4 linked regions of the Anolis sagrei genome follow. The main gene of each other region encodes a partner of the protein of the gene in region 3 in a complex. Links are inferred from orthologs where the notes say so. Each region holds a gene or a part of one and is shown on either strand. Other genes may lie near its edges.

Region 1 (7,997 bases), on a different chromosome or scaffold from region 3:
TCCCCTGCGGATGTACTGTATAATGAAGTTTTTACTTATTTCCTTTTCACTTTAGCCTCCTTTTTATTATTATTATTTTGCTCTTCCTACTATTTAAATGTACTATTTGCGATGAATTTTGCGGCACCTTGAAAGCTAACCAACGTCTCCTCCCACAAATGCAGTTTGATGTTTCTGAAGCTATTTGTAGTCCTCAATCTCAAATTCCAGGATACTGTGCCAGTTTTCCAGGTGCTACAGGACCTCTTCTTGTTGTGGTTTTCTTGCAACAGAGTTATCCCTTTCGAAATTGTTTGCGGCACAATTCTTGCTGATGAGCCATTCCTCTGCCCCCAGAGGCTGCTTTCTTATTCTTTTTGCTGTTATCGTCTCTCCCTCCCAGCCCTGACCTTTGTTCTTTTCTGTTCCGGCTGATATGATGATAAAAGAGTCAAGGTGCTCCCCAAAGATTGGACTTCACCCCCACATTGCAAGAGAAGGTGCAGGATCAGCAGAGAGAAGGAGAATGTCACAAACAAGGGGAATTGGGGACAAGGAACAGAAGGGATGGAACATAGTGCGGGGGAAGAAGGAAGCAAAATAGCAAGGCAGAAAGGGTGTGTGTGCCAAAAAGTTCTGTCATTTTGGTCCTTATTCAATTTCAATTGCTTTTCTCCTTTTGCCAACTGTCTCATTTCTTCCTCTTTGATGATACTTTCCAATACTTAAAACACATGCACACAGGGTGCATCTAGACTGCAGAATGAATACAATTTGACATCTCTTTAACTGCCATGGCTCAGTGCTATGGAATCCTGGCATTTCTATTTTGCTAAAGCAACAACATTATGTGGCAGAGAAGGCTAAATTTGCTGTAAATCTATAACTCCCATAATTCAACAGCATTGAGCCATGGAAGTTAAAGTTAAATTTGTAGATGCACCCTTGGTTTAAATTTTGTTATCTCCTAAAACACACCACTGTGGGTACATTTAGACTATCGAATTAAAGTTTGACTCCAATTTAATTGCCATGGCTCCATGCTATGAAATCCTGGGAGCTGTAGTTTGCTGAGACACCAGCCCTCTTTAGCTAAAGATATTGTAAAACTACAGCTTCCAGAATGTCAAAGCATTGAGTGATGAGAAAGTCAAACTTCATTGATTCTTCAGTGTAGATGCTCGCACAGACACACAAAGAGCAAAACAGCCACCCATTTTCCTCACATATTTATGTACATGAAATGCCCAAATATCTGAAGAAAAAAAAGATGAAAGCAATTAATGAAATGGACTATGTATATTGATCAAAATGTGGTTAAACTGAAGCACCCCACAGTGAATCACAGTATGTGGGTTAGCAGACAAATACGTCAATGGTAAAAAGATTGCTATTATTGACCAAGGATAGTTTGTTGTATGTATAATTTTTCAGCATGCCTCCTTATCTCAAATGCCCAAGCTGAAGGGCAGCAATTTAGATACAAATTACATACCAGGACAATTTCCAGTACTTCAGGGAGAAATCTGCCTCTCATGTGAGGCTTTTTGCAATTTGAAATAGCATAAGAAAATGCCATCGTGGAAAGGAAGAAATTTAACAGAAATTCAAAGTGTTTTAAATTGGTGTTTTTAACAAGATTACTTATTCAATTTTTCAGAGCTTCATAATTATACATTTTAACTGTATTTTGTTCCAAACTATATTGTAAGTCACCTTGGGTGCCAGTTGAATAAATATTGAGGGGAAATCAGGCAGAACCCAAATCTGACTTGCATGCAGCATTAGAAGTACATCTGCCCCTCCGTATATATGGATTCAACCACTCTGCTTGAAATTTTGTCCTGAAAATTTTCCCAGAAACAAAAGTTTCTTTTGCCATTTAATAGAAGGGAAACCATTTGCCACAACATCTATATAAATAAAAATGTAATGTTTGTTTGTGGGATTAGCATAACTCAAAAACCACTGGACAAATTGCCGTCAAATTTGGGCACAAGACACCTATTCACCCAAGGAGTGACCATCACTCAAAAAAATTGATTTTGTCATTTGGGAGTTGTAGTTGCTGGGATTTATAGTTCACCTACAATCAAAGAGAATTCTGAACTCCACCAGTCATGGAATTGAATCAAACATGGCACACAGGACTCCCATGACCAACAGAAAAAACTAGAAGGGTTGGTGGGCATTGACCTTGAGTTTGAGACTTGTAGTTCATCTACACCCATAGAGCACTGTGGCCTCAAACAATGATGGATCTGGACCAAACTTGGCATGAATATTCCATATGCCCAAATATGAACACGGATTAAGTTTGGGGAAATAGACCTTGACAATTGGGAGTTGTAGTTACTGGGATTTATAGTTCTCTTACAATCAAAGAGCATTCTGAACCCCACCAACGACAGATTTGGGACAAACTTCCCACACAGAACCCCCATGACCAACAGAAAATACTTAAGACTATCCAGTCCAACTCCCTTCACCAGGGCAAGAAAACATAATCAAAGTCCTCCTGACAAAGAGCCATCCAGCCATAGATATAGATATATATGATCCACACACACACAGATATAGTATCATAGATTTGAAAGGGACCCCTAAAGAAGGACAATTATATGTTGCATGCTCCAGAGTAGGCAAACCAAACAATCTCCACATTAACACTGACAAAGAAACAGCAAGAAATACTGTTTACCCACAAGCATGGAGAAATTACATATATTAAAAACCAACACTTTCTCATTACTTTATTTTCCAGATCACCAGTCTGGGTCACAGCAATGTGTGGCAGGTGATGGCTAGTTGTATATAATGGGACTTGCATATCCATAAATGTTGGTATCCCCATGAGGTCCTGGAAACCCAACCCCAGGGCATACCAATAGCCTACTGTAATTAAAGGGGGAAATATATAATAATGTTAATTAAGAACAACATTATCTTGTTTTTCCTTTTTTCCCTTCTATTATTAAGCTGGTTTCAACTCACTTACAGTGACTCTATGAATGTAAGATCCCCAAGACATCTGAATTTAAAATTTTACAATTTTGTCTTATAACATTACAACATGGATTGTTGTAAGTTTTTTGGGTTGTATGGCCATGTTCTAGAAGCATTCTCTCCTGACGTTTCACCTGCATCTTGGCAAGCATCCTCAGAGGTTGTGAGGTCTGTTGGAAACTAGGCAAGAGAGGTTTATATATCTGTGGAATGATGTACAAGGTGAGAGAAAGAACTTGAAGCTACAAGACCATTCAATGCTAATCAAGGTGGTCAACTGCAATATTCACACTTGCCTCAAACAGACAAGAGTGACTTTGGGAGTTAGAAACTCTGAAATGCTAGTTGACCCAACATATACATCCTTAAACAGACAAAAGTTCTTTCTCCCACTCTGGACATTCCACAGATATATAAACCTCACTTGCCTAGTTTCCAACAGACCTCACAATCTTTGAGGATGCTTGCCACAGATGCAGATGAAACGCCAGGAGAGAATGCTTCTAGAACAGGAGTCCTCAAACTTTTTAAACAGAGGGCCAGGTAATAGTCCCTCAAACTGTTGGAGGGCTGGATTATAATTTGGAAAAAAAAATGAATGAATTCCTATGCACACTGCACATATCTTGTTTGTAGTGCAAAAATCACTTAAAACAATACAATAATTAAAATGAAAACAATTTTAACAAATATAAACTTATTAGCATTTCAGTGGGAAGTGTGGGCCTGTTTTTGGCTGATGAGATAGGATTGTTGTTGTTGTGTGCTTTCAAGCGGTTTCAGACTTAGGTTGACCCTGAGCGAGGGCCGGGTAAATTACATTGGAGGGCTGTATCTGGCCCTTGGGCCATAGTTTGAGGACCCCTTGCCATACAACCCGAAAAGCTACAACAACCCAGTGATTCTGGCCATGAAAGCCTTCGACAATTACAACATGGAGTTTGTGCAGGCACTTCAAGCTATTTAGAGAAGCAAAGAGGGGAGTGATGAGACATATAAAAGAATGATCAGATTGAGGTATCCTTTAATAAGATTATGCCATACAAGAGAAAAATGAGCATTTTTCTTTACAGAAACTATGCACCTATTGACTGTAGGAACTACCTGCCACGAGATTTCACAAAAATGGGTGGCAGTCTGGGAATAGTCTAGAAATCCCTTAGGGTGCATGTACACTGTAGAATGGGTACAGTTTGACACCACTTTCTGCCATGACTGGATGCCAAGGAATCATGGCACTTGTAGTTTAGGGAGGTACCCATACTTTTGGGCAGAGATCTTGCAAAACCACAACTTCCATGATTCCATAGCATTGACTCATGGCAGCTAAAGTAGGGTTAAACTATATTAATTTTGGGTTGTTGTAGGTTGTTTCGGGCTATATGGCCATGTTTTAGAGCAGGGGTCCTCAAACTAAGGCCCGGGGGGGGGGGGGCGGATATGGCCCTCCAAGGTAATTTACCCGGCCCTCGCTCAGGGTCAACCAAAGTCTGAAAATGACTTGAATGACACAACAACAGCAATCCTATCTAAAGACAAAAGCAGGCCCACACCTCCCATTGAAATACTATTAAGTTTATATTTGTTAAAATTGTTCTTCATTTTAATTATTGTATTGTTTTTAAGTGTTTTTTGCACTATAAATAAGAGATGTGCAGTGTGCATAGGAATTCATTCATGTTTTTTTTCAAATTATAATCTGGCCCTCCAACAGTTTGAGGAACTGTGACCTGGCCCTCTGTTTAAAAAGTTTGTGGACCCCTGTTTTAGAGGCATTCTCTCCTGACGTTTCGCCTGCATCTATGGCAAGCATCCTCAGAGGTAGTGAGGTCCAAATTACATTAATTTTACAGGGTAGACCCACTCTTAGTTTCTGGTAATGAAGGCTCATATAAACTAATATAAACAGGTATGGTACAGAGCTGGTATCACTGCAACTAATGTATATTCCTCGCCCTGAAACAGTGGATGGATGGAACACGATGGCTGTTATCTAACATGAGGAAAGGCAAGCCAAGCAGAGATGGCTGAGTCTCCGTTTGGGAAGAAGAGAGAGAGAGCGATGAAAATGGGATCTTTTGACTGATTCAGCTCCTATTGATGTGAGCAGGAAGGTAAGGGAGGAAGGAGGAGTCTGGCTCGATGTCTCCTGGAATCAAGGACTGACCCCCACCACACCCTTCGTCCGGCAGAAGCCGGTTCAGGTTCAGGCACATGAGCAACCCAGAGAGAGAAAAACACCAGGAGAGGGGAGCGGGGAGAGGGAGAAGGAACTGAGCTGAGGAAGGGAATGAGAAGCCAAGGCGTTTGGTGGGGAGAGAAAAAATCTCAGCCGGAACAAGGAAACGAGCTTATCAACAACAATCCAAAGGAGAGAGAGAGCCAGCTGTGATGAGAGAATAGCCTGGCAAAGAACACTCCAGGGATCTCTTTACAAAACTGAGCCAGAAGGAAGATCTAAGATAGTGCTGCTGATTAGACTGACTCTGTGATAGACGCGTGGGAGCTGAACAAACAAGATCAAACCAGTCGCTTTCCTCGCGCTATTGTGACTCTCCTCCTAGACTTCAGGGGAAACTTTGCAGAAGGAAACCGTCGAAACGTGAGAGAGAGAAAGAAAGGAATTCCTCGCCATCAGGAGCTGTGATTGGAGCTCCCACCTCATAGACAGGAAGATCAGCTTGGACCAAAAAATGGTTAACTACTAGCACGCATATACCAAAGGGCAATAGAGAGAGCCAGCTCAGTCTTAGCAGAATTGGTGTGAGAACCAAGGTAGGCTGAACTAGAATTAAGAAAGAGATAACAACTATCGGAGAGAAGGACTAGCTCTGAAAGGTAATTGGGACACTTTGATTCTCAAAATAGAAGCCCAGTTTCAAAGTCTATACAGTAAAGAGCTGCACCCATAAGTCCCAAATTGGACTACAAGACACATTGCTCCTGGGAGGTATACTTTGCTCCTTGCATAGGCCCTTTCCCAAAGGATTCAAGAACATAGTTGGATCACCAGGAATAGAACTAGTGCGGCTCAAATTCTGGGAGAACCAAATCCAAAGCCTTAAATCTTGTGTGGGAATCTATCACAAGACTCCAGGGTCTGCCTTGGAAGCCAGAACATCATGGAGGATGGAGCACGCCGACGAGGTGGTGCTGAGAAGAATTCAACTAACTCAGATAAATCAGACGGCGGTGGTGTCGCACTCAAGAAAGAGATTGGACTGATGAGCGCGTGCGGCATCATTGTGGGTGAGTGAGGATTCTGGTGGGATATGATTTCTTTGAATAAGATAAAATAATTTGCTCATTATCCTCTCAGATCAACAAGAAAGCAGACATTAGAGGGGGACACCTTGTGTTCTTCTGTATTCTGTTTTTTTCTCACTTCTTGAGAATAGAATGGAATATCAAAAGTATTTTTAGTTGCATGTTTTAATCCTCATTTTCAGTTTTAACCACTGCTGCTGCTTTTTGTGCCTTGCCTTTTCTGTCTCTAAACACCTGATAGTTGTCGGTTTGCATTACCACTCTGGTTACGGCTAGTCTTTTCCTCCCTAAAGCAGCTCCAAGGCCAGCCTCTAAACTCCTCCTAACCCTTGCTTGTTTTAGTTCTCTGTTGGAATAAAAACCATTTTCTTGGCCACTTCCCATTTTATGGCACTGTACTCCACCCTAAATCATTCTACATATTAGAAACCTCTCAATTGCAGGTTCTTGTGTCCCATCCTAGGAATGTTGGAACCTAAGCCGTCAGTGTGTGAAACTTGAATAAACACCTTTCTTGGCCCAGAAGAATTACAGAAACAAACAGTGATGTCAGCCAGCAAAGCTGCTTTGCCCCATGGGTTAATAGATCCATGTCAGGCAAGTCTTCTCTGAGTACACAAGTGTCCTCTGCCAAAAAGTAGCTGGGTTTCTAAACCGGACAAGCAGTTATGTCCTCCAATTAACCCTGCCTCAGAGGGAGGGAAAAAGAGTATTATCATTGGAAGCCTGGGGTGCCATGGCCCAATGGACTCTGGCTTGAAGGCTTACCAGCACAGCTGTGCAAGATCAGAGCACGTCCTAGCAGTTCTCCTCTTGGTCACAGGAGTTTGTTTTTCACTTCAGTGCCTTGAAGTGCCTGCCTTGGAGTGTTTTTATTCCAGCTCCATCAACCCCACTCCAGATGGCTCTGTTTCATCAGGTGCCAGGAGACCACTGAAACAAACACTTTGTGGAATGGAGGAAAAAGCACTTTGAGGGACATTTGAAAAACTGTGACTTCCCTTTCCATAGAAGCCTTACTAGCACTCCAAAGTACACCTAGCGTTTGAGCTCTTCTCTCCTTTCCTGAGCCACAGTACACTAAAAGTACATCTCTCCATCATGCCATGATAACAAGTTGATTGAAAATGTACATTTCATGCTCTGCTTCTTCCATTCAGTTCCTTGGGTAATTTTCTAAATAGGGAGAGTGAGTGGGTGAAGATGACTAAAGCCTAGCCTGAGCCTCTATTTTCCCAAAGCAAAGTTCATCTTGGGTTTTATTTTGCATTTCTTACCTTACTTTTAACAGGCTCATCCTTTGCTCCTGACCTCTTCTTTTGACAGATATATGTTCCTCTCCCAAGTCCCTTCTACACTGCCATATAAAATCCAGATTATTTGCTTTGAACTGGATTATTTAGCAATGTAGACTCGGGGCCCTTCCACACAGCCCTATATCCCAGAATACGAAGGCAGAAAATCCCACAATATCTGCTTTGAACTGGGTTATCTGTGTCCACAGTCAGATAATGTGGGATTTTCTGTCTCGATATCCTGGGATATAGGGCTGTGTGGAAGGGCCCTTATATAATCCAGTTAAAAGAAGACAAAGTGGATTATCTGCTTTGATAATCTGGATTATATGGCCGTGTAGAAGGGGCCTCAGTTTCACCAATCTGACAAGGTCTTTAGCTTGCTCTGCCAAAGAGTGCAGATGCCTCACCAAACTACAATTTTCATGATTCCATAGCACTGAGCCAGGG
Region 2 (7,941 bases), on a different chromosome or scaffold from region 3:
TTAACTGTGCAGATCTTTGTTGCCAGTGTGATGTGTTTACTCTTCAATATTTTATCGAGATCAGTCATTGTTGTCCTCCCAAGAATTAAGCATCTTCTGATTTCCTGGCTGCAGTCTGCGTCTGCAGTAATCTTCGCACCTAAAAATATAAAGTATGTCACTGCCTCTGCTTTTTCTCCCTATATTTGCCAGCTCTTTGCTGTAATGACAAATTATTTACTTATTCCTAATTTTAATCTGTTTATGCATATAATGCTTTTTAACTTTTTAACTGTGCCACCGGGAGCCCCCGGTGGCGCAGTGGGTTAAATCCCTGTGCCGGCAGGACTGAAGACCGACAGGTCGCAGGCTCAAATCTGGGGAGAGGCGGATGACCTCCCTCTATCAGCTCCAGCTCCTCATGCGGGGTCAAGAGAGAAGCCTCCCACAAGGATAATGAAAACATCAAATCATCCGGGCGTTCCCTGGGCAAGGTCCTTGCAGACGGCCAATTCTCTCATACCAGAAGTGACTTGCAGTTTCTCAAGTCGTTCCTGACATGATAAAAAAACTTTTTAAAAAACATTGAAAAAGAAAGACAGCTCAAACTGACTAAATCGGGGCAATCATAATTTGGACATATCATAAGATGTCATGACTCATTGGAAAAGGCAGCAATGCTTAGTAAAGTGGAAAGCAGTAGAAACTGAGGTACACCACACTACAAATTGAATTAATTTGGTTAAGCCATATCCTGAGTTTCTAAGACTTGAGCTGGATAGTTGATCTTGGGAAGTGCTCACACATAGGATTGCCACAAGATGGACTTGCTTGATGGCAAACAACAGTAACAACGACAATGTTATTTTTAATTCATTTCTTTCCACCTCTAGTCAGTGACTTTCCTCTGCCATCTCTAGTCTTTCCCTCTTTCCAAACATACATGGGAAGAAATGATGGGAATGCTCTAAGCAAAAAATATTATCCATGCACAATCTAATGGGAAAGATTTACTATGAGGCTGATCTTTAATTTGTGGTGTGAATTATAAGGCAACATAACAGTGAAATTGCTAGCATCAAACCACTACAGAAGGAAAGACACCTGTACTCCAAAGTATCCCCGAGCATATTGCAAGACATTTCCAAACCAGCCCTCACCTCCAGATGCTTGTAAAGCTGCTTTTAATTGTAGTATAAGATGACAATGATGATGATGATATAAAGTGAAGTTGGTTTACTTGTTAACTGGTTTTGATATTTTCCCACTCTGAATTGAAATGGAGGGACCATCTGGAAAGCTCTATAGGAGCTTGAGTTCTTGTGACATAGTTTTTAAGATTTTAGTTCTATGTCCATTCACTACATTATTTTCAAGGAACTGCTTGTAGCACGTTATTATAATGATTCCAAGGTTTTTTTTAAAAATCAGGGTACAATTTAATGATGTGATTCTGTGGGGTTTCAAGGGCAAATTTTCTCCTCTTTGAAATTAAAATAATTTTAAGTTATAAAGTAATAGTTCTAAATTGTATTTCATAAATGAACTATAGTAATATAATTCTACACACAATACATAAAAACAAGAAGGGAATATGGGACTTGGTTGTACAAAGTTGCTATTCCATAGCAGTTACACTGACATTGATGATAGATACATACTGGGATAGATACCTTCTACATTACACTTCTTTTCATTTGTGGAATTGCACCAATTTGACAACTTCTACACACTCTTGTAGGAGCTGTGGTGGCGCAGTGTGTTATTTATTTATTTATTTACTTTATTTCTATACCGCTTTTTTCAGCTCTTAAACCGTTAAACTGCAGAACTTGCTGATTGGAAGGTTGGCCATATAAATCCGTGTACGGGGTGAGCTCCCGTTGTTAACTCAAGCTTCTGCCAACCTTGCAGTTCAAAAACATGCAAATGTGAGTAGATCTATAGGTACCACTTCAGCAGGAAGATAACATTGCTCCATGCAGTCATGCCAGCCGCATGACCTTGGAGGTGTCTACAGACAATGCTGGCTCTTCGGCTTATTTATTTATTTATTTATTTAACGACAGTTAGAAATGGAGATGAGCACCACCACTCCGATTTGGGCTCAACTCAACTTAATGTCAAGGGGAAACCTTTACCTTTGTAAAGGTACCATTACCCTTGTAATGCTGCCTTTCTCCTTTCTCCTGTTCTGTATTTTTTTTAAAAAATGAGGGAATTTTGCAAACATAGCTGTAAAATATCAAATACTGTACATAGAAAACAGACAGCCTGAGAATAGTGAAGGGAGAGGGGGAAAATTACTCCCCTGTCATCATTTTACTGCTGCCATGTTGGCATAGAAGTCAGGTGGACCCATTGCACCAAGCTAGGTGATGAGAATGTCCTGGGATTGGGAGCTATTGATGGGGTTTGCACATCAATAGCAAAAGATGAGTTAACTGAGGTTTGAAGATGGGGATTAAAATACCACAGCTGGTGACAAATGTGTCAGAAAATAGTCCAAGAGTCCTAGAAGTAGAGCAACAAAAACTCCAGCTTCTGATACATCTGAAAGAGCCCTAAAATGTAAATAAACAAGGGAGAAAGAAAGATAATGAAATATGAAACTCAAAACATGTAAACATTAGCAAACTGGATTTACACAAGATCACTTACTTCCAAATTATTATGTGGAGTCCTTCATTCCTTTCCCTCCATTCCATTTTCATCTCTATCATTTCTCCTGCTGAAATGTACTATCAAAGCAGAGTATGGCTAAACATTATGCTTGATTATTGTGGTGAATTAAGTAATCTGCCAGTATAATGAATTAATTAGTACTCTAATGTTAATACCCTTTACAGGGCCTGGCATTTCTTTGACATTAACAAGATACACTTGCAGAAAGAGAGATTCTTTGAAGGAATTTCAGCCTAAAGTCAGTAGGCACAGTGCCTGCGTTCTCTTTAATGATCAGTACTTAGTATTCCAGGTTAATCCTGATTGGCAACTTAGTGTTTCTATAGAAAGAAAAGAAAAACATTTCCCTGGTTAATGAGGATTTCTTTCACTCTCCTAGACAGGATTAATTTAAATGGAGTAACACGGTCGAAAACCACCATTTTAATAGATATTTCTTTACACGTAGAAGTCTTTCTGCAGAATTTCCAATGAAGGACTCCTGCGTGGAACAAGCCAGGAGAGAGAGAGAGAGAGGAGGGGGAGGGAGACCTCCTTCTTGTTCTTCCTGTTCCTCTGCAGACCTTGTGATAGCTTCATGTTCCAGACATCAATATTTTGGGGACTGTTTGTTCTTCTGTATAGATTAGCCACTTTAGGCAACTACTTTGGGAATATTTCTTTTTATTCTTTCACCCAGCAACTGTGAATAGCCTTCACATACAGGCTGAAATGCAGAGTATGCATTGTATTGCACTAATATGCATATCTCTAAGGAACACTGTCAAGAAGGCTGACATTCATACTTGCCTTTAAGCATATATGACTCATAAGAGCTCACAATGACCTATTAGAGAATGCACCAAATGATGCAACTTAAGCACAGGAAATTAAACTATGGTAATTGAACTTTGGGAGTGTTCTGATTTCTGGATACAATACAAATTGTCTCTCCTCCTGATCAAGATATGGTCAAATGCAGGCCAGGGGAGGCACCTCACGGTTTTCTAATGATCACCTTGAGTGTCCTCTATTTTGACTGCCTGATGCGGAACAGCAAATATTGCTCTCTGCCATGCCTACAGGGCATATAGATCCTAAAGATAGCCAAATTATTTTGCCACATATATTCTGGGTATCAAAGTTCAAGGAGAATATTGACAAGCTAAAACATGACCAAAAGGTAAAAGACCTGGAAACAAAGACCCATGAAAATCAGCTTGAGGAGCTGGGTATGTTTAGCTTGGAGAAGAGGAGAGGTAACATGATATATGAATATATATGATATATGAATATATTTAAATATATGAAATAATGTCATATTGAAGATAAAAGAAAATTAATTTAGTTTGCTTCACAGACTAGGATACAAACCAATGAATTGAAATTATAAGAAAAGAGAACATTAGGAAGAACTTTGTTAACAGCTGTTGGACACTGGAATAGATTTCCAGGGAGATCAGTTGACTTTGGTGATCTTTAAATAGAAGTTGAATAGCCAGTTTACAGTAGTGTTTTAGTTGTGTATTCCTGCATGACGGGGCTTTGCAATAGAGTCCAGGCATGGGCAAACTTTGGCCCTCCAGGTGTTTTGGACTTCAACTCTCAGAAATCCCAGCCAGTTTAACTGGCTGTTAGGAATTGTGGGAGTTGAAGTTCAAAATACCGAGGGCTAAAGTTCGCTCATGCCTGCACGACAAAACTATCCTTCTCAAGTCTATGATTCTATGAGGCAAATAATCTCACCAGTAGCTTTGTGCCCTATGCATCAATTCTAGCAATGTTTAAAGTAAGATACCACTGTTAAGAGCTATTTTGATGTGACCTGGGCCATGTTTCAGGGAGCCATTAGAAAAAAAGTAATAAAGATAGACACCAAATACATGAAAGAATTATCAAATTATGTAAAATTAGCCATTATTAGCCTAGACTGACTGAGTTGCTAGGAAACAACAGAAAGCAACAAGGTTGACATGTACTCTTGTGAAAATATATGTGGTCCAAATCAAATTATCAACAACAACAACAAAAGAATGCACATAACCTATAACACCTCCCTACAGTTAAGGGAATTGAATTTCTTTCTGCACTTTCTGAAGTGTAGGCAGATTTTTAAAATAACAATAAACAAAAAATAAACAGACATGGCACTATTTATTTGCTCTGTTTTCTCCTCTTTGTATTTCAGCATTTATAAGGTGCACTGCTCCCACCCCATGTTGGAAAAGAGAGTTTTGTTTCTCACTGAGATTCTATCATTGTTTGGGAGTGTGGCAATATAGTAAACCTTGCCACGAGGGATTGCTTACGGGGAATTTATTTCCCCCTTTCTCAAGTTGTGCAACATCCTGCTACTGTAGTAAAGGGGAAAAGTGCTGAGTAATGCTAGATTTGGATCCTGCTCCTATGGCTGATGCAAACCTGGAGAATTTGCATCATCATTCAGCAAGAGTAACTTGGTATGACAGGCGAGCTTAAATACAAGACCATGCGGAAGCTGAGCCGGCTTCCAATGACAGAGCGGCATAAAGGTGGCTGGGAGAAAGGGCAGGTGTTCCTGAGTAGTGTTTAGACAGCCGTCCAAAGTAAAAGACACTTGAAGAGTTTGATACTTGTTGGCACAAGTGGGTTGAAAGGCTGCAGGCGGTGTGTGTTCGTGTATGTGTGTTTTTAAAGGAGTTAGCTAGTTAGACAAAAGGAGGGAGAGAGGAAAGAAAGACCCGAGGTGGCTTTCTGTTCAGAGAGCTTTTCAAAGTTCTCAGCTTGGTGTGTGGGCAGCACCAAAACATGTTTAGGAAGTCTCCTGTGCCGACAATCTCTAATGGCAGCTACCTGCAGGGGCATTCAAATGGCACATTGCCCTCTGGCTTACACACCAAGGCGGCCCAGAGAGAGAAAGTGGTGCTGAAGAAGAAAGTGACTTTGCTGAGAGGGATATCTATTATAATTGGCACTATCATTGGAGCAGGGATCTTTATATCTCCCAAAGGAATCCTCGAGCACACAGGCAGTGTGGGCTTATCTTTGACGGTCTGGACTGTCTGTGGCATCCTGTCACTCTTTGGTAAGTTTGTGAGCATTCATAATTGATCCACTGGGGTAGATATAAGATATTTGATTCTGGGGATTAAAAGCCTGGTTTGAGACTTACTTGTACTGCTTCAGTATTTTATTTTATTTTTTGGTGGGAGGGAAGAAGGTCTTTTGCTGCTTGGCAAGCATTCAGATACTCACACAAAACTCCGAGGAATACTTTTATCAGAACTTTTAACACCAAGCGATATTCCTTACAATTCCCTGTAGTAAGCGGAGAGGCTAGTCTCCTTTAGCATATCATAAAGTTTGCAGTCTGTATTGACTTTCTGTTGAGAATGAGTTGTAGCATGCTGGTGGAGGGTTGACAGCAAGGGAAATGAACTGCTTAGTCTGAAGAACACCTGCGAATATGCGCGTCATTGGCTATACAAAATGCAATGGGGTAAACGTCTGCTGAACTATTTTCTAGCAGGAAAGCAGTGGTGTGGATGAGGGAATAATTAAACTGCTTTTTTTTAAAATAAAGAGTTTACATTTTCAAATCCATTTGGAATTTATGCATGTGGAATTGGAACGCCTCACCACTTATCCTTAAATGTCAGAGAGACTTCTTTCATGAAAGATAGGCCCCTTGCCTACACTTATTTATTTTATTCTGTTCAGTTGTCTAGCAGGTGTCATTTTTGCAGGTTTCATTATTCATGGATTTGATTAATATGTTCTCTCTAGGAATCTTTAGGTCTTCCAGAAAAAGTCTATGGTCAACCGTTACCATAGAGTCATATTGTAGGAACTTTAGAATCTTAGGGAAGTATACTCTTGGGGAAAAATATAATGTTTTTTGCGTTGCTGTGAGTTTTCCGGGCTTTTATATTGAGTGCCTTCCAAGTCGTCCAGTCTTCTGTGTGCCGAGGGGGAAGTCTCTCAATCGGTATCAGCTATGGCTTGAGGTTCTGGGTTTTAGCTTGCCACTTCTAGACTCTCGCTTGCTGAGGTGTTCCTGCGAGTATCTCTGTAGATCTTAGAAAACTATTTCTTGATTTAGGGCATTGGCTGGGTCCCCTCAGCCTCTGAGGATGCCTGCCATTGATATGGGTGAAACATCAAGAGAAAATTCTTCTGGAAGTTGGCCATGTAGCCCAGAAAACTCACAGCAACCCAGTGATTCTGGCCATGAAAGCCTTCAACAACATAATCTTTTTTTATTTGTGTTTTTCATTTTTGCGAGGGTCTTGTGTCCCTAACTCCTATGGATGCAGAGGGCTGCCTTTATTAGTTAACACATAAGCATTAGGCCTGGGCGGTTTCATTCGTTAATATTGTAATTCGTTAAATATTCGCTAATTTTAGCAATTACAAAACGATTACAAAACTTATTTTTAAACCCGGAAGTGTTTTTAAATATTGAAACGGCAGGCGCCAAAAAAATTTGTATTTCCGTCCATTTCGGAAATACGTAAGATGGCCTGGCGATGCTTGCTGGGAGCTCTCCTCTCTCTCCTCTCTTAGCCAGTCAGAGGCAGAGTCTGAAAGAGGAGGAGGAGGAGGAGGAGGAGAGGGCGGGGAAGGCACCGGCTGAGCAAGCGAGCGAGAGGGCGAGCGAGAGGGCGAGCGAGAGGGCGAGCGACCCTCAGCGGGAAGGCGGCCCGTCCCTCCTTCCTCACCTTTGCGGTGGGTGTGCTTCATTCTCCCAATTCCTTAGTGGAGGGCTGTGCTTCGTTCTCCCAATTCCTTAGCGGAGGGCTGGGCTAGATGGCCTTTGGGGAGCCCTTCTCCCAATTTCGCATTGCTTTGGAGGAGCCGGGCCCGACTCGGCGGCAGCGCTTGAGGGCCCGCCAGAGTGAGTGCCTGCCTTCCCTCCTTAATAATAATTTCTCCTCCCTATTCTACTAAATTAATAATTAAATTAAAAAATATTGAAAAAATATTGAAAAAAAAGGGCGCCATCTTTACAAAATGTTTTGTAAATATTAACGAAATTTCGTAAATACCGAACTTTTTTAAGGGAAAATTTTGTAATTATTTTAAATATCGAAACAAAAAAACCCCCCAAATACAAATTGATTTTAGAAACAAATTTTTGCGTTGTTACCCAGGCCTAATAAGCATATTTCATCTAATGAGCTCAATACTCTTCTCTGTCTCTAATGCATTGTCACAACAACTCTGTGTGGTAGGTCTGTCTAAGAAAGCTGAAGGCAGTCCATGAAATGTATCTGAACCCAAGTGAATTGATTGGCTCAGTGCAAATTGGAACTGGGG
Region 3 (7,284 bases):
CTCGGTGCCCCTGCGCCACGTCTCCTGCATGTCCCACCGGTCAGAGGTCCCGGCCTGGATCCCACTCAAGGTCAAGGGGAAGCCCTTCTATTTCCTGCTGGACAAACAGGGGCGGGTGACAAACGCCCAGCTTTTTGACATCACTGTGGGGGCCTACCGCAAACTATAAAGCCCAAGGCTGCCGGGGGAGAAGAGGAACCCTTGCATTCATGAACTCAATGGAAGAAAACCCTTCTTACCCATCCCATCTTACTGCATTTTGAACTGGGATTGTGTTGGGCCTTCAGATGTGCCGACATTGTATTGGATGCTGTGAATAAAAAGATGTAAATAACTGTTTTTCAGTGTTTTGCACGTTTTAATTGCTTTCTGCATTTAATTTTATTTTAATACTAGCATAGGGACTTGGCGGTACCTGGGTGATTTGTTGTGGGATGTTAGGTAATATCACTTAAATCCGGTCCAGTTTGGTCCAGATCCATCGTTGGGTGGGTTCAGTTCTCTCTGGATAAGGCAGAACTACAACTCCCAGATTCCCAGGGCAATCACTTCCAAACCCTGCCAGTATTCACAGTTGGCCACGTTGGGTCTGTGTACCAAGTTTGAAATCAAGGTCAATCCCCCCCCCCCCCCCAAAAAAATCCCTCCAATATGTTTGGCTGGTCATGGGGCAGCTGTGGGCCAGGTTTGGTCCCGGTCCATTGTCTGTGGGGAACATAGTATCTCTGGATACAGGTGAACTACAACTCCCAGAAATCAAGGTTAATCCCTCACCCCCAAAAAACCTCTTCAATCTGTTCAGTTGGTCATGGGGCTTCTCTGGGCCAAGTTTGGTCCCGGTCCATTGTGGGGATCACATTATCTCTGGATGCAGGTTAACTACAACTCCCAGAAATCAAGGTCACCCCGCCCCCCAAACCCAAACAAACCCTGCAATATGTTCAGCTGGTCATGGGGCTTCTCTGAACCAAGTTTGGTCCCAGTCTATTATCTGTGGGGATCACAATGTCTCTGGATGCAGGTGAACTACAACTCTCAGAAATCAAGGTCAGTTCCTTTCCCCCCAACTCCTGCAGTTTGTTCAGTTGGTCATGGGAGTTCTCTGTGCCAATGTGGCCCAGATCTGTCACTGGTGGGGTTTAGAATGCTCTCTGGGATTGGCGGAGTCTACTTTGATTTTGGGAGTTGTAGTTCACCTGCATCCAGAGAGCACTGGACCCAGCCAATGACGGATTTGGGCAATACTTGGTGCGTAGACCCAACATGAACAACTGTGAATACAGGCAGGGCTTGGGGATGATTGCCCTGGAAATCTGGGAGTTATAGTTCACTTGCATCCTGAGAGCACTGAATCCAGCCAGGGATGGATCTGAACCAACCTGGCACTGCCGGGTCTCCAGGTTAGTAAAAACAACAACAGAAGAAGAAGAAGAAGAAACAATGTCGTTCCATAAGGAATTTGGATTGTGTTGTCAAAGGCATTCAGGGCTGGAATCACTGGGTTGTGAGTTTTCCGGGCTGTCTGGCCATGTTCCAGAAGCATTCACTCCTGATATTTTGCTCACATCTATGGCAGGCATCCTCCGACGTTGTGAGGTCTGTTGGAAAAAGGGCAAGTGGGGTTTATACATCTGTGGAATGTCTAGGGGTGGGAGAAAGAACTCTTGCCTGTTTGAGGTAGATGTGAATGTTGCCATTGGCCACCATGATAAGCATTTAATGGCCTTGCAGCTTCAAGGTCTGGCTTCTTCCTGTCTGGGGGAATCCTTTGTTGGGAGGTGTTAGGTGACCCTGATTGGAATTTGGATTGTTACGATGGCCAGATAGTTTTGGTTTCCAATATATTAAAGGTGAGCTGGGCCTAGCTTCCAAAGCCTTTTTTGTCCCAGACGTGTGGCATCTGCACTATAGTATTAATTCAGTTTGACACCACTTTTTTTTGCCGTGGTTCAAGACCATAGCTTGTAGTTTTGCAAAATCTTTTGCCTTGTTTTGCAAAAAGATGTATTTTCACATATAATGTTAACATATTTATATATCCTTTTAAAGATGCGGTGGTATTTCCGCATATTGTGTCGATTTATTTCCTTTACCATAATGAAATGCGATGGTATTTCCACATCAATGTCAATTTATGTACTCTTATAGGATGCAGCAGATAGAAGATGGCTTTGAAAAGCAGCAGATCACAGGAGCTATCTTCATAGACCTGTCAGCGGCTTATGATACTGAACCACCGCCTCCTCCTGAGAAAAATGTATACCATCTCAAAGGACTACCATCTCACCTGTCTCATAGGAAACCTGCTACAAAACAGGAGCTTCTTTGTTGAGTTCCAGGGCCAGAGAAGCAGATGGCGGAAACAGAAGAACGGCCTGCCTCAGGGGAGCGTGCTTGCTTCATCCATGTTCAACATCTACACAAATGACCAGCCACTGCCAGAAGGGACAGAGAGTTTCATCTATGCTGATGATCGTGCCATTACCGCTCAAGCAGGGAGCTTTGAGATGGTTGAACAGAAGCTCTCCAAAGCTCTAGGTCAATGATGGGCAACCTTTTGAGCTTGGTGTGTCAATATTTGCCAAAAAAACGAGCATAATTTGGGTGGGGTGACACTTCGAGAAAAAACCCATAATTTCATTATATTTGTAGTTTAATAACAAAAATATATTATTGTAATATATAACTATATTTAATAATCCAAAAACTATATCTCGGCATTATAGAAAAATGCTGGTGTAGGAGCCGAGGATGAAATGTCCTTCTTGGAATGTATGCGGCCACATGCAACCGTGTGTCATTGAAAATGGCTACGCGTGACAGTGCTGACACACGTGTCATAGGTTCGCCATCATGGCTCTAGGTGCTCTAACTGCCTATTACAGGGAAAATCAACTGATCCCCAACCCACCTAAAACACAGACATGTGCTTTTCACCTCAAGAACAGACAAGCATCCCGAGCTCTGAGGATCACCTGGGAAGGAATCCCACTGGAGCATTGCAGCACACCCAAATACCTGGGAGTCACTCTGTAATATATAACTGTATTTAATAATCCAAAAACTATATCTCAGCATTATAGAAAAATGCTGGTGTAGGAGCCGAGGATGAAATGTCCTTCTTGGACCATGCTCTGACCTGCAAGAAGCACTGCCTGAACATCAAGCAAAAAGTGGGCGCTAGAAACAATATCATACGAAAGCTGACTGGCACAACCTGGGGATCACAACCAGATACAGTGAAGACATCTGCCCTTGCGCTATGCTACTCTCCTGCTGAGTATGATGCCCAGTGTGGAACACATCTCACCACACAAAAACAGTGGATGTGGCTCTTAATGAGACACGCCGCATTATCACAGGGTGTCTGCGCCCTACACCACTGGAGAAATTACACTGCTTAGCCGGCATTGCACCACCTGACATAGAATCATAGAATCATAGAATCAAAGAGTTGGAAGAGACCTCATGGGCCATCCAGTCCAACCCCATTCTGCCAAGAAGCAGGAATATTGCATTCAAATCACCCCTGACATCCGCCGGGAAGTGGCAGCCAATAGTGAAAGGACCAAGGCAGACACATCTCCAGCTCATCCCTTGTTTGGGTATCAGCCAGCACGTCAACGACTTAAATCAAGAAATAGTTTTCTTAGATCTACAGAGACACTCGCTGGAACACCTCAGCAAGCGAGAGTCCAAAAGTGGCAGGCTCAAACCCAGCACCTCAATCCGTGAGTGATACCAGATGAGAGACTCCCCCCCGGGCACACAGAGGACTGGACGACTTGGAAGGCGCTGAACAGACTGCGCTCTGGCACCACGAGATGCAGAGCCAACCTTCAGAAATGGGGCTACAAAGTGGAATCCACGACATGCGAGTGTGGAGAAGAGCAAACCACTGACCACCTGCTGCAATGCCACCTGAGCCCTGCCACATGCATGATGGAGGACCTTCTTGCGGCAACACCAGAGGCACTCCAAGTGGCCAGATACTGGTCAAAGGACATTTAATCAACTACCAAGTTTGCAAAATTTGTGTTGTTTTAAATCTGTTTGTTTGTTTTGTTTTGTTAGAAATGTAATACAATGTTCTGGTTGCGGATGACACGTTAAATAATAAATAGGATGCGGTGACATTTTTACATATAATGTCGATCTATTTCCCTATTTCCCTGCCTTTCTCCTTCCCTATTTGGTTGCCTAGGCCTGACTTAGCCATGATGCTCTTCTGGTGGGTTGCCGTGCTGCGGTTGCCGTGCTGCGGTTGCCGTGGAAACGCCCATCCTCGCCAGTGGAGCCAAGATGGCCGCCCCAAAGGCAGCAGGGGAAATGGGAGGAGGAGAGACCCCCATTGTGGGGCCAGGAAGGACGGAGCCGGAGGAGAAGAGAAACCGAGGTGAGTTGCAGGAAGCGCCCACCTACCTATCCATCATTTCCTTTTTAAAAAATAGTATTTTAACATAATTTTGTGGAATATTTCTTTTAATTTTTTTTCCAAAGAGTATGGTAGGGATACAGGGAGGGGTAAGAGTGTTAATAATAATAATAATAATAATAATAATAATAATAATAATAATCTATTTGTACCCTGCCACCATCTCCCCAATGGGGACTCGGGGTGGCTCTCATGAGGCCAAGCCCGACAACGTGATACAGTAAATAAAATGAAAACACAAACAACAGCATAAAATATATTAGTACATTAATATATCATAACAAATATGGAATAGCTAAAAGTTTTCCGGGCCGTCTAGCCATGTTCCAGAAGCATTCTCTTCTGACGTTTCACCCACATCTATGGCAGGCATCCTCAGAGGTTGTGAGGTTTGTTGAAAACTAGGAAAATAGGGTTGATATATCTGTGGAATAATGTCCTGGGTGGAAGAAAGAACTCTAGTCTGGGTTGTTGTCGTTTTTTTCGGGCTCTATGGCCATGTTCTAGAGGCATTCTCTCCTGACGTTTTGTCTGCATCTGTGGCAAGCATCCTCAGAGGTAGTGAGGTCTGTTGGAACTAGGAAAATGGGTTTTCTATATCTGTAGAATGACCAGGGTGGGACAAAGAACCCTGGCAGTGCCTGGGGCAATCTTTTGTTGAGAAGTGATTAGATGTCCCAGATTGTTTCCTCTCTGTTGTTTTGCCATAGCAGAGCACCTGATGAACCAACCTGGACACAGCATATTATTTGAGAACACAGAAATGCTGGACCACTCTAACAACCACCATGTCAGACTACACAGAGAAGCCATTGAAATCCACAAGCATGTGGACAATTTCAACAGAAAGGAGGAAACCATGAAAATGAATAAAATCTGGCTACCAGTATTAAAAAACCCTAAAATTACAACAACAAAACAACAGAGGAGAAACAATCAGGCACATCTAATCACTTCTCAACAAACGATTGCCCCAGGCACTGCCAGGCAATCAAATGCTAATCAAGGTGGTCAGTTGAAACATTCACACCTAGCTCCAACAGATAAGAATTCTTTGTCCCACCCTGGTCATTCCACAGATATATAAACCCATTTTCCTAGTTCCAACAGACCTCACTACCTCTGAGGATGCTTGCCATAGATGCAGGCGAAACGTCAGGAGAGAATGCCTCTAGAACATGGCCATAGAGCCCGAAAAAAACTACAACAATCCAGTGATTCCGGCCATGAAAGCTTTCGACAACTCTGGTCTATTGGAGGTAGGTGTGAATGTTTCAATTGGCCACCTTGATTAGCATTTAATGTGTAGCCTGACATGTTGGTTGTCAAAGTGGTCCAGCATTTCTGTGTCCTCAAATAACAAATCTACATAGGGACCACCAAACGCAGCAGTGTTGCCCAAACACGAATCAAGGAACATGAAAGGCACTGCAGACTACTTCAACCAGAGAAGTCAGCCATAGCAGAGCACCTGATGAACCAACCTGGACAAAGCATATTATTGGAGAATACAGAAATGCTGGACCACTCTCACAACCACTATGTCAGACTACACAAAAAAGCCACTGAAATCCATGAGCATGTGGACAATTTCAACAGAAAGGAAGAAACCATGAAAATAAAAATCTGGCCCCAAGTATTTAAAAACTCTAAAATCATAACAGTAAATAAAGAACAACTTTCAGGGGAACTCCAGACAAGAAACAACCAGGGACAGCTAATCACCTCTAAACAAAAGATTCCCTCAGGCAGTAAGAAGCCACATCTGAAACTGCCAGGCCATTAAATGCTAATCAAGGTGTATTGTCGAAGGCTTTCATGGCCAGAATCATTGGACTGTTGTAGATTTTTCGGGCTATATAGCCATGTTCTAGAAGCAGGCAACCTCTAAGGATGCCTGCCATAGATGCAGGCGAAACGTCAGGAGAGAATGCTCAAGGGAGTGCATTTTTGAGGCACCTACGTCTGACAGATGTCCACCTGAGTTGATCCAGATGGCCAATAGATCTGACCCTGATCTGGTGTAAAGGAGCCCTTTGTGGATCGTGCCAAGGAATCGAATGTCCGGACACCGGAGAGGAGCAGGGTGTCCTTGCTGGGTGCCCTCTATACTCTCAGTAATCCAAGATATCTTGTTTCCTAATCTGATTGGCATGAGCCTTCAGTAATGTGCACCCTTCCATCATACTCTCACATCTTTCACCTGCTTTCCTTTCCTCCATTTCAAGTTTACTTTAATTATTAATTTCTATTATATTTATTATTATCATCACTATTATTTTAATTTCTATTATTATATTTATTTCTGTTATATTTATTATTTTAGTTTCTATTATTATATTTATTTATATTCTATGTATTATTGTTATTTATTTTATTTACATGTACATAACAACAACATAATAACATGGACAACACCGGCTCTTCGGCTTAGAAATGAGGATGAGCACCAGACCCCAGAGTCAGACATGACTAGACTTAATGCCAGGGGACAACCTTTTTTAACCTACATAACAACACAGCACACATGCACATTAGATCTTAATTTCTATTATTATTATTATTGTATTTATATTTATATATCACCTTTTCCCTCAAAAGGGATTCAAAAGTGGTGAACAGTGGTTAAAATCATAAGACTATAAGCATTAAAATGGAATGTAACCTAGTTCTATTTAAAATGAATAATTAAAAGCATTTCATCCAATTTAAAATGTACAAAACACCACAAAATAAATGCAGTTCTAGCTTTCATTAGACATACTGGGCATGAGCACATTAAATTAATGAACTTTAGATCATTGAATGAATTGAGCCACAATGACAGGTGGGTAACACATGTATATTAT
Region 4 (7,971 bases), on a different chromosome or scaffold from region 3:
CGTTCAGCAGTGGAACTCTCTGCCCCAGCGTGTGGTGGAGGCTCCTTCTTTGGAGGTTTTTAAACAGAGGCTGGATGGCCATCTGTTGGGGGTGCTTTGAATGCAATATTCCTGCTTCTTGGCAGAATGGGGTTGGACTGGATGGCCCAGGAGGTCTCTTCCAACTCTAGGATTCTAGGATTCTATGATTCCTATATTTTCTTTTATTTTTCTTGCACCTGAAGCAGCTTCCCTGTCGGAACCCAGACGCCTTAAAGAGCCAGACTCAGGAGTATGTCCAAAAGAATAGTTTATTAATACAAAGTAAGTAAGACTCAGAGACACTTACTTCAGTGCCTCTGGTCAAAACTCAAAAGTTGCAGCAATTTCCAGCTTGAAAAACAAACTAAGGCAATAATCCGGATTATCCTGGCAAAAAATCCGGATTAAACAGGAGTACTTCCAAAACACCCCAAAATCACACAGTAAAAGGAAAACAACTAAAGAACTACCTAAAAAACGACAAACATGGATCAAAACAACATCAAACAAATCTAGCTACATTTTTTTTCCTCATGTCAGGAGCGACTTGAGAAACTGCAAATCGCTTCTGGTGTGAGAGAATTGGCCATCTGTAAGGACGTTGCCCAGGGGACGTTGCCCGGATGTTTTGATGTTTTATTATCCTTGTGGGAAGCTTCTCTCATGTCCCCTTTGCATGGGGAGCTGGGGCTGACAGAGGGAGCTCATCCACACTCTTCCCGGATTTGAACCTGCGACCTGTCAGTCTTCAGTCCTGCCGGCACAGGGGTTTAACCTGCTGCGCCACTGGGGGCTACTTATCGACATCAATAAAACAGGGTTGTTGTAGGTTTTTCTGGGCTATATGGCCATGGTCTAGAGCAGTGGTTCTCAACCTCCCAGAAATCCTAACAGCTGGTAAACTGGCTGGGATTTCTGGGAGTTGTAGGCCAAAAACATCTGGGGACCCCAGGTTGAGAACCACTGGTCTAGAGGCATTCTCTCCTGACGTTTCGCCTGCATCTATGGCAAGCATCCTCAGAGGTAGTGAGGTCTGTTGGAAACTAGGCAAAGGGTTTATATATCTGTGGAAAGACCAGGGTGAGACAAAGGACTCTTGTCTGCTGGAGCTAGGGGTGAATGTTTCAACTGACCACCTTGATTAGCATATAATGGCCTGACAGTGCCTAGAGCAAACTTTGTTGAGAGGTGATTGTTTGTTTCCTCTCTGTTGTTGTGCTATTGTAATTTTAGAGTTTTCTAATACTGGTAGCCAGATTGTGTTCATTTTCATGGTTTCCTCCTCCTTTCTGTTGAAATTGTCCACATGCTTCTTGTGGATGTCAATGGCTTCTCTGTGTAGTCTGACACGGTGGTTGTGAGAGTGGTCCAGCATTTCTGTGTTCTCAAATAATAATATGCTGTGTCCAGGTTGGTTCCTCAGGTGCTCTGCTAGGGCTGACTTCTCTGGTTCAGGTAGTCTGCCGTGCCTTTCATGGTCCTTGATGTGTGTTTGGGCAATGCTGCTGTGTTTGGTGGTCCCTCTGGAGACTTGTCCACAGCTGCATGGTATACGGTCAACACCTGCAGAAGCGAGAGGGTCCCTCTTGTCCTTTGCTGAATGGAGCATTGGTTGGATTTTCTTGGTGGGTCTGGAGATAGTTTGTATGTTGTGTTTCCTCCTCAGCTTCCCTCTGCGGTCAGTGGTTCCCTTGATGTCTGGCAGGAACACTTTCCCTCTGGGTGGACCTTCATCTTGACTCTCATTTATTTATTTATTTATTTATTTGCTTTATTTCTATACCGCATTTTTCAGCCTAGATTAGGCGACTCAATGCGGTTTACACAGTGCAAGTTATACAGTAATATACAGTTAAAAACACATCACACATTACAACAAAATCAACAGTTATTATCAATTCCTAATCAATTCATGACGCCTCAACAGAGCAAGATCCATTCTCATAATCCTTGTGCCAGGCGGTCCCAGTGGTGATCGGCACACTGGGTGCAGTGCCTCAAGACCTTGGCCTGCACTTAAACACAATCAGCACTGACAAAATTACCAGCTGCCAGCTGCAGAAGTCCACCTTGTGCCATTCCTATGTTCAGTTTTACCGACTTCCTGTGTTCAGTTGTTCAGTTGCACTGATTAGCCAAACGCTTGCTCATAGAGCCAAGTCTTGATCTTCCTCCAAAACGCCAGCAACGAGGGGACCTGTCTGATGTCAACCGGTAGGGCATTCCACCACCGAGAAGTCCCTGTCTCTCATCCTCGCCAATCGTGCCTGTGATGTAGGCGGGACCGAGAGCAGGGCCTCCCTGGACGATCTTAATGTCCGCACCGGTTCATAGGAGGAGATGCGTTCGGAGAGGTAAGAGGGGCCAGAACCGTTTAGGGCTTTGTAGGCTAATGCCAGCATCTTGAATTGTGCCCGGTAGCAAATTGGCAGCCAGTGGAGCTGGCTCAACAGAGGAGTGGTGTGCTCCCTGAGTGCCGCTCCTGTTAACAACCTGGCTGCCAAGCGCTGGACCATCTGAAGCTTCCGGGCAGTCTTCAAGGGCAGCCCCATGTAGAGCGCATTGCAGTAATCTATGCGGGATGTAACCAGAGCGTGGACTACCGTGGCCAAGTCAGACTTCCCAAGGTACGGGCGCAGCTCCCTCATGGCTTCTTCTCGGTTGTCTTGCAGCTCTTCTGATGCCTGAGGTGGAGTCTCCATTGGCCTGGAGAGCCTGAGGGGGTTCAGTTCCTTTTGGAGGAGGAGGTGTGCTTCACAGATTCCCTTTGGGTGATGGTTGGAGTTTTTATGTAGATATCTATCTCTGTGTGTGGGTTTTCTGTAGACGGTGTGACCCAATTGTTGATCTGGTTTACGGATGACCAGGACATCCAGAAAAGGCAGTCTTCCTTCATTTTCTTTTTCCATGGTGAATTGGATGTTTGGGTGGATACTGTTGAGATGGTCCAGCAACCTGTTGAGTTCTTCTTCTCCGTGGCTCCAAATGGTGAAGGTGTCATCCACATATCTGAACCATGTAGTGGGCTTTTTGGTTGCTGTTTCCAGGGCTTTCTTTTCAAAGTGTTCCATGTAGAAATTGGCTATGACCGGGCTGAGGGGGCTATATATAAAACAATTTCAAAGCTCGGGAGTGTCCTGCTGCTGAACTATGTCAATGCAATCACCTATTTAATAGGACCTGTTGATAGTCCGCATTCAAGCCTGTTTGGGGCTGGCTACCAATATTGCCTCGTAATCAAGCTAAACCCCTTAAGAGCTTATTTCCCTTCCAATCATAAAGGAATTTATTGCAGGCGCAGCAGATTGGGGGGGGGGGTGCCTATTCATGAAACCTATGTTTATATAATCACAGCTGTCCTTTTCTTTTTTGCCTGCCCTCCTTGTTGCTCATTCCCACAATCTGCAGCAAGAGGCAGTTCGGAATGGTGGGAGTTGAAGTCCAAAATACCTGGAGGGCCCAAGTTGGCCCAGGGCTGGGTCAAAGCATATTTAGAAGTCATATCTCATGCATAGCATATCTCACGCATAGGCCTTCTATCTGAATTCAATCCTGCTATCGAAGGCTTTCATGGCCGGAATCACTGGGTTGCTGTAGGTTTTTTTGGGCGATATGGCCATGTTTTAGAGGCATTCTCTCCTGACGTTTCGCCTGCATCTATGGCAAGAAGAGCTGCAAGACAGAGAAGAAGCCACGAGAGTCAAGACCAAGATCCACCCAGAGGAAAAGGGTTCTTGCCAGACATCAAGGGAACCACTGACCGCAGAGGGAAGCTGAGGAGGAAACACAACATACAAACTATCTCCAGACCCACCAAGAAAATCCAGCAAATGCTCCGTTCAGCAAAGGACAAGAGGGATCCTCTCACCTCTGCAGGAGTCTACCATTGTATACCATGCAGCTGTGGACAAGAAGACTCCAGAGGGACCACCAAACGCAGCATTGCCCACACACGAATCAAGGAACATGAAAGGCACGGCAGACTACCTGAACCAGAGAAGTCAGCCATAGCAGAGCACCTGAGGAACCAACCCGGACACAGCATGTTATTTGAGAACACAGAAATGCTGGACCACTCTCACAACCACCGTGTCAGAAGACACAGAGAAGCCATTGAGATCCACAAGAAGCATGTGGACAATGTCAACAGAAAGGAGGAAACCATGAAAATGAACACAATCTCGCTACCAGTATTAAAAAATAACTAAAATTACAACAGCAAAACAACAGGGAAAACAATCAGGGACATCTAATCACCTCTCAACAAAAGATTGCCCCAGGCACTGCCAGGCAATCAAATGCTAATCAAGGTGGTCAGTTGAAACATTCACACCTAGCTCCAGCAGACAAGAGTCCTTTCCACAGATATATAATTCCCTTTTTCCTAGTTCCAACAGACCTCTCTACCTCTGAGGATGCTTGCCATAGATGCAGGCGAAACGTCAGGAGAGAATGCCTCTAGATCATGGCCATATAGCCTGAAAAAACCTACAACAACCCATTACATTTATTGTTTTATGTATTGTCGAAGGCTTTCATGGCAGGAATCGCTAGGTTGTTGTAGGTTTTTTTGGGCTATATGGCCATGTTCTAGAAGCATTATCTCCTGACGTTTCGCCTGCATCTATGGCAAGCATGCTCACTACCTCTGAGGATGCTTGCCACAGATGCAGGAAAAACGTCAGGAGAGAATGCCTCTAAACCATGGCCATATAGCCCGGAAAAACCTACAACAACCCATCTCATTCCATGTGGATGTTTTGGAACTGCTAGGTTGGCAGGAGCTGGGGCGGAGAGCGGGGTCGCGAGAGGAGCTTTCCGCAGCCAGTCTCCAGGAGGGAGGGAAGGGGCGAGAGTTGGATGGGCGAATAATGGGCGGGGGCCAAAGGGGCGAGTGTCCCCAACGCCTCCCGAGCCCGGCCAGAGGCGCATGCGCCTCCCTCCGCCAGCGCTCCAGCTGGGCTTGGCTCCCCCGACTGAGTGAGGCAAGGAAGGCAGGCAGAGCGCGGCCGGAGGGCTTTCCGCGGGGCACCCCCACCGCAGCCCCCCAAGGAAGGAAGGCAGGCAGGAAGGCAGAGAAGGGGCGAAGGAGGGGAGCCATGGCCGGGGAGAACCAGCCGCGGAGCCTGAGGAAGAGCATCTCGGCGCAGCAGCAGCCGGCCCCCCCGCACCCGCCGCCGCCCCAGCCCCAGCCCCCCCGGCCCCCCCACCCGCAGCAGCAGCCCCCGCCCCAGCCCCCCGGCGCCCCCGAGAGGGTCACCCTCAAGAAGGAGATCGGCTTGGTCAGCGCCTGTGCCATCATCATCGGTAGGTAGGCAGGGAGGGGGGCAGACTCGCTTGGTCGCCCGGGGGGGGGGGGCTTCTGCAAGGATCCATCTGGGGGCAGCCCCTCCTGCTTCTGGGGTTTGGGAACGAGCGCGGCTAGACTACAACTCCCAAGCTCCAGAATCAACCGCCTCCAAACCCTACCAGTTGATCCTGTTGGGTCTGCGTGCCAAGTTTGGTCCAAGTCCTGCCTTGGTTGGGTTCACAGTGCTCTCTGGATGTGGGTGAACTAGAACTTCTCCAAGGTCAATCCCTTCCAAACCCTGCCAGTATTCAAAGTTGGGCATGTTGGGTCTGCATGCCAAGTTTGGTCCCAGTCCATCCTTGGTTGGGCTCACTGTGCTCTTTTGATTAGAGTGAACTACAACTCCCAACCTCCAAGGTCAACTGCCTCCAAACCCTGCCAGTTGGGCATGTGGGGTCTGTGTGCCAAGTTTGATCCCAGCCCATCCTTGGCTCACGGTGCGCTTTTGATTAGGGTGAACTACAACTCCCAACCTCCAAGGTCAACCCCCTTCAAACCCTGCCCGTATGTTCTGTTGATCATCAGGTGTCTGTGTGCCAAATTTGGTCCAGATCCACTGTCGGTGGGAGTCACAGGGCTCTTTGGATGGAACTACAAATCCCAACCTTCAAGGTCAACCGCCTCCAAACCCCGCCAGTATTCAAAGCTGGCCATGTTGGGTCTGCGTGCCAAGTTTGGTCCATATTCATCCTTGGTTAGGTTCACACTGCTTTCTGGGTGTGAGTGAACTACAACTTCCAACCTCCAAGGTCAATACCTTCCAAACCCTGCCAGTTGGGCATGTGGGGTCTGTGTGCCAAGTTTGATCCCAGTCCATCCTTGGCTCACGGTGCTCTTTTGATTAGGGTGAACTACAACTCCCAACCTCCAAGGTCAACCCCTTTCAAACCCTGCCCGTATGTTCTATTGATCATCAAGTGTCTGTGTGCCAAATTTGGTCCAGATCCACTGTCGGTGGGAGTCACAGGGCTCTTTGGATGGAACTACAAATCCCAACCTTCAAGGTCAACCGCCTCCAAACCCCGCCAGGGCATGCTGGGTCTGTGTGCCAAGTTTGGTCTCAACCCATCCTTGGTTGGGCTCACAGCGTTCTTTTGATTAAGGTGAACTACAACTCCCAACCTCCAAGGTCAACCCCCTTCAAACCCTGCCCATATGTTCTGTTGATCATGGGGTGTCTGTGTGCCAAATTTGGTCCAGATCCACCATCAGTGGGTGTCACAGAGCTCCCACCGAACACCAGCTGGGTTCACAGTGCTCTTTGATTGTGGGTGGACTATAACTCCCATCATCCAGGGCCAACTGCCCTCCTCCCCAAACCCTTCCAGTATGTTCTGTTGGTCATGGGGTGTCTGTGTGCCAAGTTTGGTCCAGAACTGCGGTAGGTGGGAGTCACAGTGATCTCTGGAAGTGTTGTCCGTCTTGGAAAAGACATACAAATGAGCATAGATACATGTATACAAACTTTCACTATGATTATATGGATAGATATCGAAAAAGGAGATAGAAATGGGCCGTGAATGTTCTCCACCACATTCCTCTTCCATCTCCATCTCCATCTCCTTCCCCTCCATCTCCATGATCTCCACCACATTCCTCCTCCATCTCCATCACCTCCTCCATCTCCTCCTCCAGTACATACAAATGGGCATAAATGCATGTATACAAACTTTCACTTTGATTATATTGAAAGATATTGAAGAAGGAGATAGAAATGGGTTGTGAATGTTCTCCACCACATTCCTCCTCCATAATCTTCACCACTTTCCTCCTCCACCTCCATCTCCATGATCTCTACCACATTCCTCCTCCATCTCCATCTCCATCTCCTTCTCCTCCTACATACAAATGAACATAGATACATGTATACAAACTTTCACTATGATTATATTGATAGATATCAAAGAAGGAGATAGAAATGGGCTGTGAATGTTCTCCACCACATTCCTCCTCCATCTCCATCTCCATCTCCATCCCCTTCCCCTTCATCTCCATGATCTCCACCACATTCCTTCTCCATCTCCTTCTCCATCTCCCTCGCCTTCTCCTCCATCTCCATGATCTCCACCACATTCCTCCTCCATCTCCATCTCCAACTCCTTCTCCATCTCCTTCCACTTTCCTTCCATCTCCATGATTTCCACCACATTCTTCCTCCATCTCCAACTCCTTCTCCATCTCCATCTCCATCTCCTTCCATTTTCCTTCCATGATCTCCACCACATTCCTCCTCCATCTCCACCTCCTTCTCCAACTCCTTCTCCATCTCCTTCTCCTTCCCCTTCCCTTCCATCTCTATGATCTCCATCACATTCTTCTTCCGTCTCTATCTTCTTCTCTATCCCCATCTCCTTCTCCTCCTACATGCAAATGAGCATAGATACATGTGTACAAACTTTCACTTTGATTATATAGATAGATATCGAAGAAGGAGATAGAAATGGGCTGTGAATGTTCTCCACCACATTCCTCCTCCATCTCCATCTCCATCCCCTTCCCCTTCATCTCCATGATCTCCACCACATTCCTTCTCCATCTCCATTTCCTCCTCCATCTTCATCTCCTTCTCCTCCTACATGCAAATGAACATAGATACATGT

The links.
Region 1: the proteins of SLC3A2 (region 3) and SLC7A8 are in contact, whole or in part, in a cryo-EM structure (PDB 7CMI), measured with the Homo sapiens proteins. The link is inferred for Anolis sagrei from reciprocal best matches to the Homo sapiens genes SLC3A2 and SLC7A8. Residues at the interface, in NP_002385.3 of Homo sapiens: Thr162, Gly163, Leu164, Ser165, Lys166, Glu167, Leu170, Ala173, Gly174, Trp178, Arg182, Leu185, Phe189, Trp190, Trp193, Met196, Leu197, Gly199, Ala200, Ile203, Ile204, Ala207, Arg209, Cys210, Arg211, Leu213, Lys532, Arg534, Asp558, Gln559; in NP_036376.2 of Homo sapiens: Leu147, Leu150, Phe151, Pro152, Thr153, Cys154, Phe155, Pro157, Ser159, Gly160, Leu163, Leu164, Ala166, Ile167, Leu170, Leu171, Trp174, Gln294, Ser352, Met356, Val359, Glu481, Thr484, Leu485, Gln488, Lys489, Met490, Cys491, Val492, Val493.
Region 2: the proteins of SLC3A2 (region 3) and SLC7A11 are in contact, whole or in part, in a cryo-EM structure (PDB 7P9V), measured with the Homo sapiens proteins. The link is inferred for Anolis sagrei from reciprocal best matches to the Homo sapiens genes SLC3A2 and SLC7A11. Residues at the interface, in NP_002385.3 of Homo sapiens: Glu167, Leu170, Ala173, Trp178, Thr181, Arg182, Phe189, Trp190, Trp193, Met196, Leu197, Gly199, Ala200, Ile203, Ile204, Ala207, Arg209, Cys210, Glu212, Leu213, Lys299, Arg534, Gln559; in NP_055146.1 of Homo sapiens: Leu151, Phe154, Phe155, Ile156, Gln157, Cys158, Glu159, Pro161, Leu163, Ala164, Leu167, Ile168, Ala170, Val171, Thr174, Val175, Val178, Gln217, Gln219, Val360, His373, Thr487, Gln489, Ile490, Ile491, Glu493, Val494, Val495.
Region 4: the proteins of SLC3A2 (region 3) and SLC7A10 are in contact, whole or in part, in a cryo-EM structure (PDB 8WNT), measured with the Homo sapiens proteins. The link is inferred for Anolis sagrei from reciprocal best matches to the Homo sapiens genes SLC3A2 and SLC7A10. Residues at the interface, in NP_002385.3 of Homo sapiens: Phe161, Thr162, Gly163, Leu164, Lys166, Leu169, Leu170, Val172, Ala173, Trp178, Arg182, Leu186, Phe189, Trp190, Trp193, Met196, Leu197, Ala200, Ile203, Ile204, Ala207, Pro208, Arg209, Cys210, Arg211, Glu212, Leu213, Arg534; in NP_062823.1 of Homo sapiens: Leu147, Val150, Phe151, Asn153, Cys154, Pro157, Ala160, Val163, Leu164, Met166, Ala167, Met170, Leu171, Trp174, Ser352, Val359, Glu481, Thr484, His485, Trp486, Gln488, Glu489, Leu490, Phe492, Val493, Val494, Tyr495, Gln497.

What each region holds. Positions count from the first base shown.
Region 1 is NC_090026.1:9,145,804-9,153,800, forward strand, and holds the start of SLC7A8 (large neutral amino acids transporter small subunit 2), read left to right. Parts: upstream 1-4,982; 5' UTR 4,983-6,107; coding exon 6,108-6,234; intron 6,235-7,997. UniProt on the Homo sapiens protein: Associates with SLC3A2 to form a functional heterodimeric complex that translocates small and large neutral amino acids with broad specificity and a stoichiometry of 1:1.
Region 2 is NC_090025.1:44,305,112-44,313,052, reverse strand, and holds the start of SLC7A11 (cystine/glutamate transporter), read left to right. Parts: upstream 1-4,937; 5' UTR 4,938-5,430; coding exon 5,431-5,707; intron 5,708-7,941. UniProt on the Homo sapiens protein: Heterodimer with SLC3A2, that functions as an antiporter by mediating the exchange of extracellular anionic L-cystine and intracellular L-glutamate across the cellular plasma membrane.
Region 3 is NC_090032.1:12,314,959-12,322,242, reverse strand, and holds the start of SLC3A2 (amino acid transporter heavy chain SLC3A2), read left to right. Parts: upstream 1-4,275; 5' UTR 4,276-4,302; coding exon 4,303-4,396; intron 4,397-7,284. Other genes in the region: TMEM223 (transmembrane protein 223), read left to right, coding at 1-169. UniProt on the Homo sapiens protein: Acts as a chaperone that facilitates biogenesis and trafficking of functional transporters heterodimers to the plasma membrane.
Region 4 is NC_090028.1:43,362,123-43,370,093, reverse strand, and holds the start of SLC7A10 (asc-type amino acid transporter 1), read left to right. Parts: upstream 1-4,965; 5' UTR 4,966-5,120; coding exon 5,121-5,328; intron 5,329-7,971. UniProt on the Homo sapiens protein: Associates with SLC3A2/4F2hc to form a functional heterodimeric complex that translocates small neutral L- and D-amino acids across the plasma membrane. Preferentially mediates exchange transport, but can also operate via facilitated diffusion.